2 linked regions of the Sus scrofa genome follow. The protein of the gene in region 2 interacts with the protein of the main gene of each other region in a pairwise test. Links are inferred from orthologs where the notes say so. Each region holds a gene or a part of one and is shown on either strand. Other genes may lie near its edges.

What was found. The genes of interacting proteins can lie anywhere in the genome.
Region 1: the proteins of melanoma-associated antigen B4-like (region 2) and MED21 interact in binary tests that used the Homo sapiens proteins (3 or more experiments, as listed by UniProt). The two-hybrid records come from large-scale screens. The link is inferred for Sus scrofa from reciprocal best matches to the Homo sapiens genes MAGEB4 and MED21.

What each region holds. Positions count from the first base shown.
Region 1 is NC_010447.5:46,734,138-46,737,888, reverse strand, and holds the start of MED21 (mediator of RNA polymerase II transcription subunit 21), read left to right. Parts: upstream 1-1,507; 5' UTR 1,508-1,523; coding exon 1,524-1,565; intron 1,566-3,751. UniProt on the Homo sapiens protein: Component of the Mediator complex, a coactivator involved in the regulated transcription of nearly all RNA polymerase II-dependent genes.
Region 2 is NC_010461.5:25,894,357-25,898,107, reverse strand, and holds the start of melanoma-associated antigen B4-like, read right to left. Parts: upstream 2,685-3,751; 5' UTR 2,564-2,684; intron 1-2,563.

The DNA.
Region 1 (3,751 bases), on a different chromosome or scaffold from region 2:
AGTAAAGGTAGTTAAGGGTCTAGAATGTCAAATTAAAGAACTGTTAAGGATTTTTTTTTCCGGAAAAAATAATCACTACAGGTTTTAAAAATCAAAGTACCACAAGATTGGCTATGCGTTGATAATTGAAGCTGGGAGATGGGTGCATGAGTGTTCACAATAGTACTCTCTACTTTTGGACATGTCTGAAACTTTTAATAATATAGTTTAAAAGAACATACTTACCAAAAGTGGGTGTTTAAAAGATGAGATTCATAATACTGGGTCCTGTTCTTAAAACCACATGCTCCAGTTGGGGATTCAAGAAAAGCACATGAGGAGTTCCCGTCGTGGCCCAGTGGTTAACGAATCCGACTAGGAACCATGAGGTTGCGGGTTCGATCCCTGCCACTTGCTCAGTGGGTTAACGATCCGGCGTTGCCATGAATTGTGGTGTAGGTTGCAGACGCGGCTCGGATCCCGCGTTGCTGTGGCTGTGGTGTAGGCCGGTGGCTACAGCTCCGATTGGACCCCTAGCCTGGGAACCCCCATATGCCGCAGGAGCGGCCCAAGAAATGGCAAAAAGACAAAACAAACAAACAAAAAAAAAAGAAAAGCCCATGAAAAGGCATATGTGAAAGTGTCGAAATCATAAAAGGAGAGAGGAGTAATCCATGTGGACTCTAGTAATTCATAAAATTTACATGAAAATAGTAAAACTTAGAAAAAAACCCCCTTTTTTTTTTGGCCGCACAGGCATGTGGAAGTTCCCTGGGCCAGGGATTAAAGCTGTTGAACCAGTGGGATTTGGAAGACCCTAACCACTGTAGTCGGATTCTTAATCCACTGTACCAGTGGGAACTCCCAAGTATTCTTTAGTTGTTCATTGTGTAGGCCATGTGGTCTACCTAGAAAGCCAAAGCAATGTAAAATAGGTATTCAAGGTGATGTTTAAAAATGGATACAAACCTTGTGGCTCAGCAGGTTACAAACCAGGGCTAGTATCCATGAGGCTGCGGGTTGGATCCCTGGCCTAACTCAGGGGGTTAAGGATCTTGAGCTGCAGTGAGCTGTGGTGTAGATCACAGATGCAGCTCGGATCCCTCCTTGCTGTGGCTGTGTCTGTGTCTGTTTTGCTGTAGGCTGGCAGCTACCCTCTAGCCTGGGAACTTCCAGGAGCGGCCCTTCAAAAAAGAAGAAAAAAAAAAAAAAAAAGATACAAAGAGGATAGGGAAACTTACTTAGAAAAACCGCGAATCCAGTCTCCACAAAGTGTTTACTTAAAAGCCATGAGAAAGTACATTGGCTCACCCCAGAAGCCCCCAAATTACTAAACGTGGGCCCAGCGGAGCTTCCCCCAGGTGCAGCTGGTCTGAACAAAAATAAGCCTTAGGAAAGCCCAGCCGCTTAGCGCGGGGAGTGGAGTTCGGCTTGACTCCACCCCCTCCACGAACTCAGCCCTGTGATTGGTCGTGACGCTTACCAAAGCTGCCCAATTGCATCCGAGCAGCTGCTTTAGCGTCTCTTTGTTTGCGGGGAGAAACATGGCGGATCGCCTGACACAGCTGCAGGACGCCGTGAACTCGGTGAGCAATTGTACTCGATTAGTCTCCGTCTTCTTTCCTGAGGGAAAGCAAGTTAGAAAAAGGGACTTGGGGGGCAAGCTTGGAAGTGGGGAGCGTCTTTCCGCAACGCACGCTCGGGTCGGCGGGAGGCGGCGCCGCGGTCTGTGAGGCCGAGGCGGCCGGTGGAATGGTGCGGAGCTGCGGGAGCCCGCGGCCTCAGCCTGCGAGGTGGAGGGTCTCCCTGCCTAGTCTCAAGCCTCACGGCCTTGTCATGTTTTCTAGGAACGGCTTTATTTTCTTGTCAGCGGTGCTTATGGGGTCGCCCCTCTTGCGGGGAAGAGAGAGGAAGCGGAAACTCCCTCCCGCACCCATACATTTTAACCCTTGGAGGGAAACCCGTGTTCTTAACCATTGGATTGGACCTTAGCGAAGAGTAATCCTTCGCCCAAATTTTCAGGTTGGGGCGGGAGTGACGGTAAAGTGAGTAATTTTGTTTCATCTCGGTTGGTTCCTGTAGACTAAGGGTCGTTGCATCTCTTGGCCACTCCCCCAGCGTAAGTCAAGTTTGGGGAAAACTGACATCTTTATGATAGTGAATCTTCTGATCCTTGTCTCTTTAAGTTTTTAAAAATGTCTGCCAAAAGTTCTACTCCCTATTAAAGTCAGATCTTGTAATTGGCCCTCTTACTTTGAACCTTCTGATTATTTTTCCTGTTATGTGAAGTGAAAGTGATGCAAACCAAGGGATTCATATGCTTATTACCGTTAAGAGCTAAATTGTTTTCTATCGGTAGTTACATTTCTCTCATTCTGTTTGTAATTTGATGTCCCAGAGAAGATGCCTATAGATGTTGACAGGAAAATCCAGGTACCTCTTGCTAGTTTTTTTTCTCACTAGAAGGAAATAGGCTGGCATTCTTGTTATTGCTCAGTCTTTGTACGTGAGCAATAAGTGTGAATGTACACATATTGAGTGTGAATCTGCATGTTAAAAACTGATCTACTTTGCCTATGAGGGCCAGCCCCTAAATGTCGATGAATTCACCAAGGTAAATTCTACCTTTGGTGACTTTTCTGGACTACTGAACAACCTACCTTGGGGAGACAGTCCTTTGAGGTTTTACAAAATCAAATTGTAATGATGCTACTTGATAGAAATGTTATTTTAGGGGAAATATCGCATAGTCATCCATGTCTCCTGGCCAGAAGGATAGTAAGAACAAAGTGAATATGGCCTTTACTCCAAAAGTAGGCATACTGATTTTGCAAAGAAGCCTCTAGGTTAACTAGTATGTGTAGAAGCACTATAATGTTTATGGAGAGATGCTCCTTAAGGAGTTTGCAGTCTGATTAGAAAGACGTCATATACTCAAGAGACATTTAAATAAATGACACAAAAGCAGTATATGGTTAGGGAGTTGAATCGAGTGTTTTCAGCTGTAAGTGCTGAAGTAAAGTGGGCTAGTGAGTGCTGTTAGGAGGGAGTCTTAGTGTTTTTCTGACTCATAATTGTAAAATTTTTAAAATATAATTTTATCCTCTGAGAACTTCATGAGAGCAGAAACTGTCTTGTTCACGCTCTAACTTAGAATGTTTATATAGTTATATACAGTTGATATATCATAGTGTTGATTTTTGATAAATATTTGGTGACTAACTGGATCTTGAGAGCTTCATAAGGACATAGTCACAGTGTTGAATATTCTTGTATTTTCTCTGTTCCTCATAACAATGCTGTAATGTGAGAATATTCCCAATTTAAAATTTCTTTTAAAACTCTATTTGCCAGAATTAGAATCCACATTTGTACAGCTTCAGAGCACTTATGGCCACTCCCTTACATTTGCAAAATGTGAGCAAATGCAGTGTTATCAGGAATGAATTTATCACTAGTCAGGAATATGAAAGAGTAGTAGGTAATGAACAAGTTGAGTTGACCTAGATTATTGAAAGCTTGGAAAGAGCCTTAAAGAGTTGGAGATTATCTTGAAGGCAATGCTAGGGTGAGCTCAAGATTTTTGAGCAGGGTTAAGTAAATGACATAGTGAGCTAGAAAATCATGAGGCTATTGTAAATAACTCTTATGTGAGGTAATTGGTTGAACTAAAACAGCAGCGCGATGGAGGAGGAAAAGGTAAAGATTTGTAGTAGTATTAACAGGATTTGAAGATGAAAGTTGAGAGTCTGAAGGTAGATTGGTTGACTAG
Region 2 (3,751 bases):
CATTTTTTTTCAAAAATTTCTCTGAAGGGGGAGTTCCCACTGTGGCTCAGCAGGTTAATAAACTGATTAGTATCCATGAGGATGCAGGTTCAATCCCTGGCCTTGCTCAGTGGGTTAAGGATCCAGCATTGCCATAAGCTGTGGTGTAGGTTACACATGCAGTTTTGATCTGGAGTGGCTGTGGCTGTGGCATAGACCAGCAGCTTCAACCCCTAGCCTGAGAACTTCCATATGCCATGGGTGCAGCCCTAAAAAGACAAAAAAAAATTTCTATGAAGGAATTTATCATGTTTCAACTTATATTTTATTCAATCACATGCATACTTTCTCCGTTCCTTTTGATTACAATTTTTCTAAGGCTAAGGACTATGTTTTAGTTATGAATCTTCAAAAGCACCTGGAACATAGCGGATGCTTTAAAAATGTTTTTCTACTGGAGTTCCCGTTGTGGCGCAGTGGTTAACGAATCTGTCTAGGAACCATGAGGTTGCAGGTTCGATCCCTGCCCTTGCTCAGTGGATTAAGGATCCGGCATTCCCTCCCATGAGCTGTGGTGTAGGTCACAGATGTTGCTCGGATCCCGCACTGCTGTGGCTCTGGCGTAGGCCAGCGGTTGCTGTGGCTCTGGAGTAGGCCAGTGGCTACAGCTCCAATTGGACCTCTAGCCTGGGAACCTCCATACGTCACGGGAACAGCCCTAGAAAAGGCAAAAAAAAAGACAAAAAAAAGAAAATGTTTTTCTACTGGCACTGCTGGCATAACTCTATCATTTTAAATTATTTAATCCATGGATTCAACAGCACATAACTGGTTACCTAAGTTAGCTATAGTCTGATTGATTTATGTAACTAAATAATATGTATTGATTTTAAAACACCAATGACACATATTTAATAATTCATAAAATATGATTTCTTGCATGCTAATTTAAGTTCTGTTTTCCAAGTAAGAAAGTTGTGTAATAATTGTAATATGACTATAGAGTGGCTGCATCATTACTCTAATCATAAGAATCTTTAAGAAATGCAGATTTACTTTTCCAGATTACTGAGAGTTACAGGTAATATGCTATATATGTGTTTAATTTTAAAAACTTAAAGAGAGATACATTATCTAAAATGAGAGAGAATCATGAAAGAAAAAAAAATATTTTCTCATTTGTAAGAACTTGGACTCCTTAAGGCATCTGATAAATATAAAAATGATACTTTCAAAAACTGTAAGAAGATGAAGATTCCTGATTGCTGAAGGTTTTACTTTATTCAAACATGTAGCACCAGATCATGTAAGGAGAATCTTATTCTGCTTAAAGCCTGAGCGATTTGATTTGCTGCTTTCTGTCAGTGTAGAAGTTGACATTTTCTACTCACACAGATATATTTTTCCAACATTGTAAAACTGTTCAGAAAATGAGCTATGCTTGTAAAATCCTTCTTCCGTCTTATCACTAGGTGATTTTTGGCAATTAACCCCATCTTTTAATGCTAAATCAACCTAAAATGCCAAAAATACAATGAATACTTGTACATATGTCTTTCTAATCAGATATAGGAGTACTTATATCCACTAAGAACTATTCATCCAGAAAATGATTACAATGATTTAAGTGGGTATATTATAAAATTTCAATTGTACTTAAGAACTGCATAATGTTTGAAGCTGCTCTGAGAACTTGTATCCTACAAACTGGTAAAATAACATTGATCTGAGCTGCCTACATGTTCTTTTGTTCACCTTTTAAAACTTATAACAGGGAACCCATTTTCTTTTTTAAGGCTGACACAGTTTATGCTTCATCTTTTGACCTTCATTGAAGAAAGTTTGTTTTCTGTATCATATAATGACATTTGTATACCCCAGCTTCTATTGTGCTATTTGAGGATACTTCATTCAACAAAGCTTTACTGCTGTCAGTCTTGCCTTGTCTTGTCAGAAACACATGACATATTAGAATTTAAAAAAATTCATAGAGGGTTGATAAAGTTACTAAGTACAAACTATTAATTTAGGTGTAGGTGGAACCACAAGATATAGGGCAAGAACCTGAGGCTAGTAACAGTGGAGTTTGTCACCATCCCTAGGTCCTAAGAAACAAGGGAGAAGTTATTGGAACTCAGAACATGACAAAATTATGTAGAGTAGGCTAACTCAAGAATATAATTTGAGAAACAGAGCCAGCCCAAGGCAATGGTGCAGGAAAGGATTGTGGAGAATAAATACCCTATTCTCTTTCTCCTTTCTCCCTTCAGTCTCCCAGAGCTCCCTGTAGGTTAAACCCAACCAGAAGACAGAAGGTACAGGAACCCTGCCAATGTGGCCTACAGAGACATCAGTCAAGTAACAGGGAAGGAAAGAGCACATACCTAGAGAGGAAAACAGCAGATATCCAACAGAGCTCCTATGCTATATACACAGTGAACACCACACCCCCTGACCTTTAATGTTCCTTATAGGCACAGCCTCAATGAAATAAGTCAGTATAATAATGGGTAGATTAATTCCACCCTTTTCAATACTTGCCTCAATGAACTGGCATCATTTTGTAGTGTTTAATAATTCTCACCTGTGTTGCCGGGTGCTGCTTAATTACGGGAGAGTTTCTATTGAGGATTTTTAGCCATCTTTTGAGTCCATAGCTGTTGCAGAACTTTGGCTACCATGTTAGTTTTGGATTACGATTATTTCTTAAAGTGGAAAAAAAAAAGTGAGGCACAGTTAAATCTTGATTTCCTAGTCAAAGTCAACAACACAGCCTAGGAACTAAAATTTTTAGCACCCATCATTTCAACTCTCTCACCTATATTTGCTCTATGTAAATTAACACCCACAAAACTGAATAGAAGATTAGCACTGAACTCTTGCAGACAGGTGGAGAAGAATTATGACATCCGGCAATCTGTGAAATATTCTTGTATTTTTAACTGTGTATTCTTGTGTTTTGGGCTGTGTATGGGGCCTTTCCTGAATTGCTTTCCTTCCCTCCGTTGCAGCAATCTCCTTACAACCTTTTCCCTTTGGTCAGAAAAGGGGGGGAAGTGCCAACATAATTAGTATGCCAGAGTCAGTAATACTCCGCTGCCAAATGGCTTCTTGATTCAAATTAATGAAAACATGGCTAGCTGTGTCAACAATGGGGTCCTCAGCACCAAGAGGCCACAGCTCATGTCATGAAGAAGACGGCCCAATTCCACTTCCAAGATTGTGTCACTGAAGAACCTTTCCTAAGATATGGACCGGGTTTGCTTTCTGATGTGCTTCAGTTTCCTTGGGGGTGAGGGGCATGGAGTCTTTTGTGATCACTCTATTATAAAACATTCTTCACACACAGAGGAGATGCACTTGAGCTACTTCCCCCAAGTCAACACAGCTCACCCTAATGAAACACTGAGTATGCGCCAAGTTTTGTGCTAGGTGCTAGTGATAAGATGAATGTCACCCTGCTGACAAGGAGACCAATGCATAAAGAGACAAACACACACAAATGATTGGTCCTTGTGGAGCTCAGAAGAGGGAAAATAGAGTCTTTATTGGAGAGATAAAAGCTGTTTGGGGCTGGATATTAAAGAACGGATGAATATGGCATTCACAGATGGAAAAGTGAGAAGAGGAACTTCCAAGCAGAAGTGATGACTAGTGCAAATTGTGCAATTATTTGCAGTGAGCACAGGACAAGTCATAAAACCAGTAACTTCAGCAGGTAATGAATTACCATAAGTATGTGTTGATATATTGGGAACAGAAATTATTTACC